Coturnix japonica: one gene and its partners. The protein of the gene in region 2 purifies or fractionates together with the protein of the main gene of each other region. This does not show direct contact. Links are inferred from orthologs where the notes say so. Each region holds a gene or a part of one and is shown on either strand. Other genes may lie near its edges. The genes, in order: SLC9A3R1, PHLPP2, USP1 and USP46.

Region 1 (2,285 bases), on a different chromosome or scaffold from region 2:
CTGGCAAAACCCTCAGAGGTCCCACTCTGGATGGGCAGTGCCCTGCTCTCCTCCAGCCCGCTGCTCTGAGAAGGCAGCCCAGGCACTCAGGCTCACCCCACACCCCAGTGGAGCAGTGGTGGCTGTTTGGGGTTGGGGCAGCCCCTAGCAACGCTGCCTCCCTCCAGCCCAGCTGGCAGCCACGTCCCTACAAGTCCCTACGGATGGGCAGATTAGAGCAGGCACACAGTAGACTGGAACGGCTCCCCCCACCCCCCCCCGCGGGATTAAAGCCCTTTAATCGTCCCAAGGCATTAACTCACACTGGGACCAGCCCAGCCTTCTCCATTAGTCCATCCCAGCTCCAAACCGAATCCTGTATCAGCTCACCATGGCTTAATTGCTCCAGGGAGACATTCGAACAAACTCAGACTCTAAGGTGTCTGCCCATAGACAGGGCCCAGCGTGCACAGCCACCTTCACAAGGGATGCTGCCCTGCCCTGCAGCCCCTGCCCCCAGGCCCCCCCCAGCACCATGCCCTGGGATCCACGGCTCCGCAAGGATTTGGCCTCCAGCTGGACATGTGAAGTCAGGAAGATTTATTCCAGTAAACAGAATTTATCTTCATCTTGACAACACGACACCTGATTGCAAAACACAGAAACAAAACATCCACAGGAAGAATTTTCCACAAAATACATTAAAAAAAGAAATAAACTGTGTGATTGGAAAAACTCTCATTTTGGAGAAAGAAGAGAGTCTACAGAGAACCCTTTAAACTAAGCAGTGTAGGACACAAGCCCTGACCGGCTCTGTCTCTGGGAGCAAGCAGCAGCACCGGGGGTGATTATTGCTTATTATTGCTTGCTGTGCTGGCTCCAGACACCTCTCCTCTCCCAAAACAACCCTGGGGCAGAGGCTGTAGGACGCCCAAGTGCCTCTGAGAGCAGCTCTGTGGGCACAGGAACGAAGGGATGGGGTCATTGTGGACGGACACTGCAAGGTTAAGAGTGCCAACCCCAGGAGGAACTGCTGCGGTGTAGGGCATGGTGAGAATCACCGAGAGCCTCTAGAAGGGGAGATGATCTGGGGGGGCTGAAACAGAGGTGGGCTTTGGGATGGGAGAACGAGAGCTGGCAGAGGGGATGAGAAGCGTGGGGCACCAAACCCGGCCACTCTGAGTGACCAAACCTCCCCAGAGCTCTGCACACAGCCGGGCGCACAAAGCTTCACACCGGGGCTGGAGGAGCACCCAGGGCACCGTCACCATCCTCATCAGGGATGCTCAGCGACCCCGAGCCCCGTCCTCCCCATCAGGGTGGTGGGGATGAAGGGGATGGGGCCGGTGTCCCTGCCCCGGGGCGGATTCACAGGTTGCTGAACAGTTCGTTCTTCTTGCTCCAGTCCATCTGTGGAGCCCGTTTGCTGGTGCGCTTCTGGTGCGCACGCTCCTTGGCCACGGCCAGCGGGATGTCGAGGTCCAGCAGGGAGCTGGGCGCTGAGCTGCGCTTGTCCCCTTCTTGCAAATCGGGCTGCGGAGAGAGAGGAGCTCAGCCTCCATGTGGGGACTTTGCCCACCCCCCCCTCAGTCATTCTTTCCGCCCCTACCTCGCTGTGGGTCTCGCTGCCTTCAGGGGATGCAGCCAGTGCAGGGCTGGGGGGTCTCTCTGACACCGAGTTCAGCCGTGGCTCTCCACCATTTTCCTGCAGGAAGCAGAGCAGGAGAGAGAAGCTGAGGTTTGGAAGCCACCCCTGGGGCTGCTGCCATCCCTCATCCTTCCTCCCTGCACGTAATCCGCTGAGAGCTCCGTGCTAATAAACACCTCCTGCACTGCCCATGCAAGGCTGGGAGGATTAAACCTGACTTCCCAGCTGCAGCAGCAGGAGGAGGGCTGTGGAATGGGGTGCTGCTTCCCTGAAGCACGAGGGCTCCTTCCCAGCCACAGCATCATAAGGACAGAGCCTATAAGTGATCTGCTTCCTGGGGGCCACTGCTTCCCACTCCCCTTCCCAGTGGCACCTGCTCTCGTGTGACAGTGTGGGAGCCTCGACCCTGGCAGCCCGTGGGTCACCCAACCACCCACAGACAAAGGAAGGAGGGACATCCAAACCCAGGGGCTCCATGCCTACAGACCAGCATAGGTGGGATTTAGAAAGGACAAAAAGGAATTTATCTCACCTTCTCTATATCACCATTGGCAATGGGCTCAGGCAAGGGACCTGCAGAGAGGACACGGCGTCAGGTGGGGACAGGCACACACCAGGGCTGTGACCATCGGTGCCCGTGGGCACAACAGCTCCGGGG
Region 2 (3,565 bases):
TTCAGTAACACAAGTATTAGAGTCTTAATGTAATCGCAGGAGGCTCAGGCCAGGTGTTTGAAGATCCAGGCACGTCTCTCCCATTCCTCTTGAATTCTGCTCTGAAGGTTATAGACTGCATCAGGATTTGCTGTATTGGAAGTCTGCACTGTTTGGTGCAATCTGTTATTTATTCCACTTTCTAACAGCTTGGCTGTTCTAGGTAACAGCCACACAGATTTGTCATTTACAGTAACACACTGGAAATCTCTTCCTAATGTTCTGTGTGGTGTTCACTGCTCCTTCTGTAGGGTGAAAAAAAGAAGTGATAACTTAGACCTCAAGTCACATATTTACAGAACTGCTTGCCTCTCTTAAGCCTCTGGATCCCCCGGGGAGGTGCTGAAAAAGACTGAGAGCAGCCTGTGTTTGGGCCGGCAGGAAAGGAGGCAATGGGCTCAAACTTAAATGCAGGAATTGTAACATCAGCAAACTTTTTTTTTTTTTTTTTTTTTTTTTTAAGAAATTTAAGTAGAGTTCTAAATTTTTAGGTCAATAAAAACAGATTTTTAAAATTATTGTGAGTCTGCTTCTTGTGCAGTATTTCGGATATTGTTTCTTGTCATTGTTTCCTCTTGATGTTCTTTAAGTCATATAAAGGAAACCATGGATTGCATGGCTTAAGTTTTTTCCTCTCCATTTCCCTTCTGCAGTAAAGTTCTTCAGATGCTGCATTTTTTAACTGATTTTTTAGCATAAAGCACCAACCCAGGGGTATGTGTTTGCCAGACCTTTTTAGAGCAGTATCGGTGTCGGTATCCCTTGCACTTTGTTGCAATGAGACATGTTTCATCTTTTTCAAGTTGTCAAACTGCTTTCTTGTATGTTTTGCTAGGAGGCTGGAACCCACTGAAAAGCCCCTTCAGATTGTGTATGACTACTTGGCTGGGTTGGGTTTTGATGACCCTGTCAGAGTGCAGGAGGAGGCAGCAAACTCTGACCTCAGCTGTATGATTCGCTTTTACAGCGGTAAGAATCTGTGTGTGCATGTACGCTCTCACTGTACCCGTAGTTTTAAATATCTGGTGGAGCTCAGGTGAAGCACAAGTCATTGACCGGTTGGCTTTATAGATGGCTAAATCATACACGCAATATCAGCGAGCATTTCTTAAAAGAGTTTTCAAAATCGTAGGAATGGCAGTTTCGTAGTTCTCTTGACCCTATTTGTGTCTGGGGAGAAGACAGCTCAATGGCACAACATGTGATTGCTCTGTTTCGTGTTATGACAAATGCCTTAGAAGTCCAAATGAGATCAGAAACGTTCTGCAGTTCAGTCTAGATAAGGCATTTCACACAACCTGCCTGAAGGTAATGGTCAGTAAGTTTGTAATTGCCTTTCTACTGCATCTGAAAGACAGATGCTCGGCAAGTGCCGCAATCTGTAATTACTTGAAGATTAAAAATGCACTACATGGCAATTGTGGTAATACTTTACCGAAAGTCGTACAGTGGTGGTTTGTCAGACACTTCTGCCCCAGGTACATCGCTTGTCTTCTGTGTGAGATCTTTATTTTATGTGCTACTCAGTGTTTCGTCTTAACGTGTTGCTTGCAGTAACTGATATTGCATGTTACAGCTGTGCTGCTATTTGTGCTCTTACCTGAAAATGAAGAACAAATGGAGAGTAAGCAGAAATATTCATTTTTTTCTTCAGAAAAGCCCTGTCAGATGGAACAGTTAGATCGCATCCTGCTCTCTGGAATCTATAATGTGCGCAAGGGGAAGACTCAGTTGCACAAATGGGCGGAACGCTTAGTGATTCTCTGTGGCACCTGTCTCATCGTGTCCTCTGTTAAAGACAGCCACACAGGGAAGATGCACATCTTGCCTCTTGTCGGAGGGAAGGTAAAACTTTTTTTAAGCTTTCTGTAACCTAAAAAAGAAGAAGGGGGGTTATAATGATGTGTATTATCCACAAGAGGTTAATCTAGGCTGTGTTGCTGTATCAACAGACTCAGGGAGAATTGCATGATTATTTCCTACTTACTTTTCTTAAGTGGTCTTAAGGCTAATAAAATGCTGGAAGAGACACTACTTCTGTTTTCACAGTAGTAGCCAGTGTGAATAGGCATCCTGGAGATCATTACTTAAAGGATCTACTTCAGCAGAAAGATGTTAAGAAGGATTTACTACACTACATTTGTCTCAAATAACCTTATAACAGAGTTTTGTTCGAAATACTGCATTATCGATTTTAATATCTTACCCTAGATTTCAGATCCATTGTAATTGCTGGAATTTAGGTAGACTGTTTTGTTTTCATCCCTCCCTTTGCAGGTTGAAGAAATGAAACGTCGGCAGTACACTCTTGCTTTCACATCTGCTGGAGCACAAGCCCAGACATACCATGTCTCCTTTGAAACACTGGCAGAGTGTCAGCGGTGGCACCGACAGGCATCCACGGTGAGGCCCTGGAGACTGCAGCAGTTGGGGTGGTGGGTACCAAGGAAATGAAGGGATTTATTGTACAGGCTGGGTCTGCAGGCAGCGATTTAAACTGTGATGCTGGAGAAAGTACCTGGGATGCTTTCCAGCTTTCTTCATTTCTTACATGCTCGGGATTACAGAATCTTTATTTGAGCTTTCTCCTGGGGCACTGGCTGTACAGCATTGTTGAGTAGCAGTTCTGTGTTCTTTTCACCCCCACCCTACTGAGAGTAGCTAATCACAGCTCACTAGAACAATTTACAGCCGTAGAAATCTGTTAATTGCTCCTGCTGCCATTCGCCTGTGACCTGTGGCCTAGACTGACTCAGAGGTACCCTGTTATATTTGAGTTCAGTAAAGCAAGGGATCGTAGGTCAGCAAGGTAAGCATAGTTTGTTCAGAGCTGCTTCCTTATTCCACATTAAAGTACAATTAGCTGGTAATAGCTCAACACTGAACTGCTCTTTGACCTCAAATATATAACATGAAATACGGTGCAGGTTGAAGTTGGTAATAAATGCTTAAATGAAGCAAGTAAGACCTTGAGACAAAGTGTACTTAATTAAAGGAGACATGATATTTACAGAGACTATGAAATGTCACAAAAACATGTGAAGTTTTTTTCATCTTTAATATTTCTGATATTATAGCCTGAACAAGCACACAGAAGAAAATCAAAAGTAATAGGTTGGCCAAAGAGAGGCTCTGTATAGTATACAGAGCAGAACTGCAGTGTCAGCTGCTTCATTTTGCTGTCTGCAACCTTGGGAGGCACTCAGACTACTTTCTCAGCACATTCCTTATCCAGAGATACAGCTTTTTCTGTCGCTTTGTCATGGAGTAGCAAATGCCATAATACTCCCTGGACTTGGTTTCCTGCTTGAACTCTACCTGTGTGTGGTGGGTATACAGGGACTCTTCATTTTGTGGATTGTTTACTACTTGCAGTCTTTGGTTTTCCATTAGACTTCCATATAAGAATTGTTGCACAGCTACAACTCTTACTCCTTCCTTTCAGGTTGTGTCTATGCGACTTAGCATGGTTGATCTTTCATGCTACAGCCTTGAGGAAGTACCCGAGCATCTCTTCTACAGTCAA
Region 3 (4,267 bases), on a different chromosome or scaffold from region 2:
CCTTGGATGATTTGTTTCCGTGCTTCAGTCTGGTTGTGAATGGAGGCAGGATCACTCTAAATGTTCATCTATACCACTCCTACCAACAGACAGACTTGTCTTCACACTTTATATTCAGTATTCTCATGTTTGTGAATGGTTTCTTACACTTCCTGCCATAAGCTGTTTGACCAAGTGTTCTGATAGAATGAAATCAGTCTGGCCAGCACAAGCTCTTCAGGGCTGGGTCAGGTTGGTGTTACTGCACTGAGGTGACCCCAGGAGTGGGGCAGTGCTGAAAGAGCACATTGTCTGCTCACAACTCACCAATGTTCACTAAATTCACAGGGCAGTTCTGGCTGTGCACTGTGCAGATGGATGGGCCTGATGCTGCTACAGCTCTGTGCTTTGTGAGTAGCTCTAACTCATAACTCACATCAACAAGCAGAGCTGTGGGGCTTCATCCCTGCAGGGGACACTGCTCTGTAACGGAGACTTCCCCCACATCCACCTCCTGGGAATCTCCTCTTTCCAGGCATTTCACAGGGTTATTTTTGGTTCAGCCTGCAGATATTTCTGCTTTCCCACTGCAGCCGTTTCTATGACATGTGGCTGCAAAGCCCGTACAATTACACATCGTTTAACTCGGTGCATTTGAGCATCTCAGGGCTGTGTTTGCAGCCACCCCTCACACCTGCAGCCGTGTTTGAAACATTCCTTTTACTGTGAGAGGCCGGAGCCGCACAGGCTGTGGACAAACAGCTCCTTTATTGAGCCTGCTGAGCAGCCATCAATATTTCATGAGCTGTTGCTCTATTTCTGGATTGATACGGAAAGGAAAAGCCATTTTGTGGCATTTAAACGGATCCATTCCGGCACCGTCCCGCTGGAAGGACTTCCCTGCATTAACTCATGACAGCGAGCCAATATGGGAGGGTTGGCAGGGAGCTGTGGGGGTGAAACAAGCCCCGGGACTGCTGCTGCTCCGTGTGGTAGCGGAGCTGACACCGACCCCCAGCGGCGCGACCGAGCTCTGAGGAGAGACTGACCCGTCCCACCCCGCAACGGCCGTTATCCTGAGCCGTTCAAACGGCCCGCTGTGATTGGCGGAGGCGGAAGGAGGCGGGGCTACGCGCGGACCAATCCGCTGCCGCGGTGTGATCTCGGCGCGGTGGTTGGTCCCGCCCCTTCCCGCCCCTCCCCCTCTCCAGCCCCGGGTCCTTGGTCGCGCCGTTAGCGGCGCCCGCGCGCGCACTGCGAGGACCCTGAGGGCTCCCCGGCGCGTTGCCTGACGGAAGCGGCGGACTCTTGGTGCCGGTGCCGCCGATTGAGCCCGCTCCGAGGTCTCTCTCGACTCGCTCTAGCCGTCCCGAGGAGGGCTGCAGCTCGCCACCATGGCAATTCGATCCCGGCCGGCGTCGTCCCCGCCTTCCGCTCCGGCGTTTGAGCGAGGCAGCCGCGGTCGCTTGGGCGCGAGGAGGGCTGCGGGCGCGGGTCCTGGCGGCGCGGAAAACGCGCCAAGTTTCCCGTGTCGGAGCGAGCGGCCCCAGAGCGGGCGGGGAGCGGGGAAACGGCGGCGCCATGTAGCGGTGAGAGAACGGGCACGGCTACGGGGAGAGAACGGCAACGGGAGGGGGGATGAGGGACTGAGGGACCGCGAGAGGGCGGGGAGGGAGCGGGGCGGCGGGAGGAGAGGAGAGGAGAGCTGAGGAGAGGAAAGGAGGAGAGAGCTGAAGAGAGGAGAGCTGAGGAGAGGAAAGGAGGGGAGAGCTGAGGAGAGGCCAGGCCGTGAGCGGGGCGGTGTGAGGCGGCCGTGACGCCGTGTGTGTTTGTTATGTGTGTTTATTATGTGTGTATATGGCAGGTGTTCGCCCCTCGCCGCCCGCCCGGAGATGCCGGGGGTGCTCCCGAGTGACGGCAGCGCGCCGCAGCGGGGCAGCCCCTGCAGGAAGAACCGGCTGTCGCTGAAACTCTTCCAGAAGAAAGAGGCCAAAAGAGCGCTGGATTTCACCGAGCACACGGAACATGAGCACAAGGGCGCCGAGCTCCGCGCCGATGACATGTAAGTACGGGTGCCCGGCTGTGCCCGCTGCCGTTTCCCTCTTTCCCGGCCGAGGTTGCGGTGTTTTGAGCGTCCCGGGGCACAAAGTTGTGGTGCTGGGACAGAGTTGTCTCGTTTCGGTCCGGTTGCGCCGCTGAGTTGGTTAAAGCGTGTTCACAATGCGGTTCGTGCTCTTAGTGAAGGGATATCGGGCCTTTAGGCTGCTCTCAGCGTGCTCTTAGTGTAAGGATATCACGGCTGGAAGCAGCGGTCCCGCTCCTGCTGCCACACTGTGTTCCCAGCCCTCAGCACCTGTGGGCTCAGTGCAGCACAGCCAGGGCTGAGTCCCACCAGGCAGAGGAGAAATGACCCGATCACAGCAATATGTGGTGGTGAAGACTTTAAGGCTTTAAGGCTCTGCTGTGTTGGCGTAGGGTCGTTGGTTTGGTTATTCAGCTGTTTATCCTCTTGTTGTGCATCCTGTAATGAAGCCGTGTGGATCTGGAGCAATAGAAAATAAGCAGCGGATCCTTTTTCTTGGTGCTGTCTTAGGAATGAATGAAGAGCGTATTAAAGTAGTTGAAAGAGAACTCAGCTGAGTCGTTCAGTCTGGCCTGTGGGCTGTTCTGCAGGACAGGCATTGGAAGTGCATGCAGTAGTAATACGTGCTGGAAGCCTGTCAGGCTGCCTGCAGGTTGTTAGAGGAGCTCCAAGGAGACTCGGAAACACCATGACACAGTTTTCATCTGTGTGTTAATCATTAATTCTGTAAGCTGTCTCCTTATCTTCCGCTACCTATACGGTAGAGGCTTGGAGAGCTGTGTGTGCATATCAGGCAGGTTTCTTATGCTTGTTTTCTCTGTTTGACAGTGACCAGGTTGTTCCTGCAGCACAGCCTCCCTCACTTGTCAGCTGTGAGAAGAAGGACAACATGTTACCCTTTGTGGGCTTGAATAATCTTGGCAACACCTGTTACCTTAACAGCGTTCTTCAGGTAAGATCACATTCAGGGGCCTCAAAAAAAAATCACATTGTACTGTTCTAGTGCAAGTGGCTGGGTTTCCTAGTCTGCCATTATAGAGGAGACGTCCGGATGTTGTATCAGGGGAATCTAATTACAGTGAGGGGAAGAAAAGTGATACCACAGGAAGTGTGTGCACCATAGATTGCTGTGATTGAGTCATCTGTCAGTTTACATACTTGGGCCACCTCCCTGCTGTGAGTAATCCCAGCAGCGGCCTTGGGAGATGCAGAGCTGGCTGGGTCCTAAGCATAGAGAGGTAATGTTGAATAACTGGGTTGACCAACTATTGTCTTGTTTTCTGCTGTTGCTTTTAGGTATTATATTTTTGTCCTGGTTTTAAAACGGGAATCAAACATTTATATAATATCATTTCAAAGAAGAAAGAATCGTTGAAGGATGAAGGAGAGCTAAAAGCAGAAAAGGTAATACATCTCAGTACACCTTGTAACGGTGCAGGTGAGGGTGTGTGCCAGGAAGGTTCTCAAAGTGGAACTGTTTTCTTCTGCTCTTAAGAAGTTGGGCAGTGTTGTTTTCTGTACTATTCTGGGTGAAAGCAGGTTTGAGTGGTTTTGGACTTGTGTTCAAACAGGAGTGTTCAGAGCCTTTGTGAACTTGTAAGCACAAGGCTGAGCTGGTTGAATTTCAGTTAAACTTAGCGTACCTTATGTCTGTGGGCAAAGATAGTTTGGGCTTCTAACGTTCATACTGGGGCTTTCATGTTTCTTTTCTGCTGTCGAATGAGCAATGAATTGACTTAAACTCACCTGTTTCCCCTTGTGGGGAAAAAATAAATCTTTCCAATTTGTTGGATAATTACATAGGGGCTACTCATAACTGCTTGTTACAGACAAAGCTGCAACTATCTTCATTCTCATTGCAGGGAAACTGTAAAGAAGATCCACTGGCGAGTTATGAACTGATCTGCAGTTTGCACTCGTTGATTCTTTCTGTTGAACAGCTTCAAGCCAGCTTTCTTTTGAACCCAGAGAAATACACCGATGAACTCGCTACTCAGCCACGAAGGCTGCTCAACACCCTTAGGTACAAATTATCTTAAACACCACATTTTCACCTAAAGTTTTGGCATAGTTATAACTGTACAGTAGAGCAGGAGGGAACTGTGGGGGAAGGGAGTAGATAATTGTAGATTTTGGGGCATTGTTACGCGATTATACAAAGGAGGTTCTCCTGCATTTCACAGGGGGAGGTTTGTGTTTGTTGCT
Region 4 (3,998 bases), on a different chromosome or scaffold from region 2:
TGTAGGTAATACCTGTGGAGCCCGGCTCTGCAGGCTGAAATTATTACCTTGTAGCAATGTGAACTGGACAGTGTAGCCAAGAGGGAGCTGCCATGTTTCCAGGTGCTAACCAAGATGTCACCAGCTTCCTCTCTTAAGGATCTCTTATGTGTAGGGAAGGAACAACACAGGGGCTTGAAGTTTCTGCTGGAACCAGAGATATTTGCTAAGGAAAGGGATGCTGAGGCCATATCCTAGAATCATGGAATCATAGAATGGCCTGGGTTGAAAAGGACCACAGTGATCAGCTATTTTCAACCCCCTTGCTGTATGCAGGGTTGCCAGCCACCAGACCAGGCTGCCCAGAGCCACATCCAGCCATTCAGCTATGGGGCATCCACAGCCACCTTGGGCAACCTGTTCCAGTGTGTCACCACCCTCTGTGTGAAAATATTCCCCCAAATATCTAACCTAAACCTCCCCTGTCTCAGTTTAAGACCATTCCCCCTTGTCCTATCACTACCCACCCTTGTAAACAGCTGTTCCCCCTCCTATTTATATGGTCCCTTGAAGTACAGGAAGGTCACAAGGAAGTCTCCCTGGACCCTGCTCTTCTCAAAGCTAAACAACCCCAGTTCCCTCAACCTTTTCTCATAGGAGAGATGATGGTAGGTGAACTCCATCTTTGTTTCTCCATGAGATTTGTCACATGGCCACAAGATAACATCCTTGTGCCTCACCACAAGTACAGATTTAAGGCGCTAGTATCTTTTAATGCCCTCACACCCTGGAGGATGGCACGGGCCTTCGTTTATTGCAGTGTATGAAGATGAACTGAGCTTACTGCGTTAGCAGTGTTGTGTAAATGAACGTCCTGTAAATTTGTGACTGAGTGGCAGCGACCACAAAGCACATAGAATAGTCCTTCAAGCTGGGTGTGAAGAGCACATCCCAAAGCACAGTGGTGCTGTCACTGTCACAAGCTGCGTCGCCCTGCCTGCCTGCTCTCCGCCTCGTTGTCCCTCCTGCCTTCAAATGGCATCTCTCGTGCCCTTTAACCCGAGTTCGGCGGCCGCCCCAGGGGCATCGCGGCGCCCCGCACTGCCTCCGCAGGGCACCCCGCGCCCCTCCCCGAGTCGCGTTGGCCGCAGCGGTGCCGGGTGCCGCTCACTGTCCGGCCCGGTGCCGCGCCGCGATGGAGCTGCAGCCGTCGGGTGAGGAGGAGCAGCAGGAGGAGGAGGAGGAGGAAGGCAGGGATTAACGCTGGGCCGGCTGGCGCAGAGGCGCGGCTGAGCGCTCCGGCAGGAGCCCAGGGCCCTGCGGCCCGTGCAGAAGGCAGGGGCGGGAGGAGCGGAGATGCGGCTGCTCCAGCCGCGCCGCTAAAGCTGCCGGTCACTCGCCCGTGGGAGGAGGAGGAAGGAGGGCGGCGAGCTCCTTCCTCCCCGCTGCGCCGCGGGGCGCGGGCAGGCCTTCCTCCCGCTCATCCCAGCCCCGAGTCGGAGCCGCCGTCGCCCCCTCTGCCTTCCTGCGCTCTTCCCACCATGAGCGGGGCCGTTTTCACCTCGTAAAGATGGCGGTGTGGGATCGCTGCAACCTTTAGACTAATGACTGTCAGAAACATCGCCTCCATCTGTAATATGGTGAGTGCCGGCGGGCGGGGCGGTACGGCAGGCCTGCTGGGGCCGGCGGGGGCTGCCCGGGGGCGCCGGGAGGAGGAGGAAGCGGAGGCGGGGAGCCGGGCAGGCTCAGCCGGGAAGCAGCCGAGGCCCGGAGGATCGTCCCGGGGACGGACGGAGGCACCGACGGGAGCGGGGCGGGCGCCGACCGTCTCACGTTGAAGACGGAGCCGCGGCCGCCTGTCCTTCCTCCTTTTCGCCCTTCCTCTTCCTGCCCTAAGAACGCTGCCGAGGAACCCCGGAGTTAGGCTCCGAGTGCGTACCCGGCTCAGTGAGCCCAATAAATCCCTCCAGGCAGGCACCCTGAGGCTCACGCGGCCAGCAGCCCCTGGGGAATGCACGGAACCGGTGTAAGAGGCTTTGGTCCCGAGACTGGGGGCTCCCATAGGAAGTCTCAGCTTCGGTTGCTGTCAGGGATTTTCTCCTGCTGGGTGCCATTCAGAGAAGATTGCTGCTTACAGCTGACTCTCAAAGCACTTGACTTTCTCTAACTCACACTGTGTAATGAGGAAGAAATAAGGAAATATTAATATGTTTGCTTGCTGTGTTCAAGCTTTGCCATTCCCAGCCCAGGAATAGTTGAAAAGACCATTTCTTCACTGTGCCTATATCTGTTTGCAGTCCTGACTCTACTGACTCAGAGCAGCTGATTTGGTTTGGATTTCTAAAACTTCATGGTGGGGGAGAGCTTAAAGTACATCAGTGGAAGTGCACTGAGATGGCAGTACGCTTGCCAAAGACATGAGTGAGTGCTAAGCACACCAGTGCAAACAGAAGAGAAGCCAATTGCTGCACATTTTGTTGGTTTAGTCTGTATTTTTCCCCCTTATTTCCAGGTTCTTCAAGAGCAGCTCCACACAGTTGCCAGCTTCCCTCCATGTGGTGCCCCAGCATGCCTTGTGCTGGCAATGCCACACATACCTTTCAGCTGCCCTGGAGAACGGAGCCTGCCTCCGGGGTAAGGCAGCGGGCACAGCCCAGAGGCCCGACTCCCGCGGGTCAGCAGGGCTGGGGAGGGAGCGTGGGGTGTGAGCTGCTCCCCCTTCTGTGGCAATGGCAGCTTTTCACCGCTCTTAATACCTTCCAGTCCTGGGGGTCAGGGATACTGCAACAAAGCACTGCATGAAGGGGAGCTGGAGGCTGTTAGATGATTGTAAGGCTTTAGCACTGGCTTAAATCCTAGGAGCTCCGTGATTTCTTTCATGTGCTTCAAGCATGTGCTTGCATACAGTCTGCTTCTCCCCAAACCTGCACAGATAGAGCAAAATTGCTGGGTTTATTCTAAAGGTGTGCTGCTCAGCTGCTACCATTAGATCCTGCAAAAGTGGCATGTCAGAAATGGAAGAACTGAAGTCTCACACAAGAGCTCATAGTTCAAGACAATTCTGGCTCGCAGTATCAATGCTGAAACTGAGGGTGAAGTTGATTTAACAGTAATAATGCTTTAAAGCTTATAGAGACGTTGTGTTATACTGGTGACATTCAGTCTTCTCTTCATAACCCATGGGATTATTAATTCATTGTAGGATACAAATGCTGGGCTTTTCAGAAGCTTACAGGAATCTGGGCCTTGAAGCTAAACATAAACTACTGGAGATACCAGTAACTCTGCATTATGGCTCCTCTAAAGATGAGCCCACTTAGATAAAGTAGTGGACTGTAAGAAGAGCTGGGACATCTCTCTGTAAGAATAGGACTTGAGAGTTACACAAGCAAACCTTTTGTTTGTATAAACTATTATTGCAGTTCTAGACTGACAGAAGGTATCTGTGGAAATCTACCAGAGACCTATATTCCCCAGTCTTTTTCCTGCGATATAACATGGTGCTTGAAGAACTGAGCCACTCACAGTCTGTGGCTAAGAAGTAGGCAAAGCAAGTGTAGTGAAGCAAAGAAAGCCAGGGACAGTTTTCAACTTGCTTGCAAAGGAGATCCAGCACTATGTATTCATGGATGAACTCCCATATGCTGAGGGAAACACGGTCAGAACTAACCAGTAAGAAAAACAGGTTTATCCATTCCACTTGGCATGCGTATTAATGGCATATATTGAAATGCGCAACTTCTAGACTTAAAATTACTTTGTTGTTTTTCCCCAGTTTGCCACCCCCCTCTCCCATTTACAATTATAGTAGCATTAGTTATTCGCTGGCTTGGTTAACAAAGCCAAGGAGGTAAAATTACTTCCTCTGGGGCTAGAGGGTGATGAACAACTCTCTACATGAAGGAACTGGTGGCAAAGATGGAGATCCGGCTCCCAGAAAGTTCCTCTTACTGCCTTGCAGATGGTGGGAGGTCATCCGTAGGGCTGTATACTGCCTGAGCACAGCAGGAGGTCTGCAA

Evidence for each region.
Region 1: the proteins of PHLPP2 (region 2) and SLC9A3R1 purify together in Homo sapiens (co-immunoprecipitation; 3 studies listed by BioGRID and IntAct, with this or other methods). This does not show direct contact. The link is inferred for Coturnix japonica from reciprocal best matches to the Homo sapiens genes PHLPP2 and NHERF1.
Region 3: the proteins of PHLPP2 (region 2) and USP1 purify together in Homo sapiens (affinity purification with mass spectrometry; 3 studies listed by BioGRID and IntAct, with this or other methods). This does not show direct contact. The link is inferred for Coturnix japonica from reciprocal best matches to the Homo sapiens genes PHLPP2 and USP1.
Region 4: the proteins of PHLPP2 (region 2) and USP46 purify together in Homo sapiens (affinity purification with mass spectrometry; 4 studies listed by BioGRID and IntAct, counting the BioPlex papers as one, with this or other methods). This does not show direct contact. The link is inferred for Coturnix japonica from reciprocal best matches to the Homo sapiens genes PHLPP2 and USP46.

What each region holds. Positions count from the first base shown.
Region 1 is NC_029533.1:9,151,888-9,154,172, reverse strand, and holds the end of SLC9A3R1 (Na(+)/H(+) exchange regulatory cofactor NHE-RF1), read right to left. Parts: intron 2,201-2,285; coding exon 2,160-2,200; intron 1,685-2,159; coding exon 1,589-1,684; intron 1,513-1,588; coding exon 1,348-1,512; 3' UTR 559-1,347; downstream 1-558. UniProt on the Homo sapiens protein: Scaffold protein that connects plasma membrane proteins with members of the ezrin/moesin/radixin family and thereby helps to link them to the actin cytoskeleton and to regulate their surface expression. Necessary for recycling of internalized ADRB2.
Region 2 is NC_029526.1:17,694,584-17,698,148, forward strand, and holds part of PHLPP2 (PH domain leucine-rich repeat-containing protein phosphatase 2), read left to right. Parts: intron 1-198; exon of another isoform or gene 199-284; intron 285-874; coding exon 875-1,008; intron 1,009-1,639; exon of another isoform or gene 1,640-1,693; coding exon 1,694-1,884; exon of another isoform or gene 1,885-1,912; intron 1,913-2,245; exon of another isoform or gene 2,246-2,316; coding exon 2,317-2,442; exon of another isoform or gene 2,443-2,457; intron 2,458-2,557; exon of another isoform or gene 2,558-2,844; intron 2,845-3,484; coding exon 3,485-3,565. UniProt on the Homo sapiens protein: Protein phosphatase involved in regulation of Akt and PKC signaling.
Region 3 is NC_029523.1:24,710,893-24,715,159, forward strand, and holds the start of USP1 (ubiquitin carboxyl-terminal hydrolase 1), read left to right. Parts: upstream 1-1,433; 5' UTR 1,434-1,568; intron 1,569-1,843; 5' UTR 1,844-1,871; coding exon 1,872-2,041; intron 2,042-2,890; coding exon 2,891-3,014; intron 3,015-3,358; coding exon 3,359-3,466; intron 3,467-3,924; coding exon 3,925-4,085; intron 4,086-4,267. UniProt on the Homo sapiens protein: Negative regulator of DNA damage repair which specifically deubiquitinates monoubiquitinated FANCD2. Also involved in PCNA-mediated translesion synthesis (TLS) by deubiquitinating monoubiquitinated PCNA.
Region 4 is NC_029519.1:59,548,437-59,552,434, forward strand, and holds the start of USP46 (ubiquitin carboxyl-terminal hydrolase 46), read left to right. Parts: upstream 1-1,147; 5' UTR 1,148-1,583; coding exon of another isoform or gene 1,584-1,619; intron 1,620-2,491; 5' UTR 2,492-2,532; coding exon 2,533-2,613; intron 2,614-3,998. UniProt on the Homo sapiens protein: Deubiquitinating enzyme that plays a role in behavior, possibly by regulating GABA action. May act by mediating the deubiquitination of GAD1/GAD67.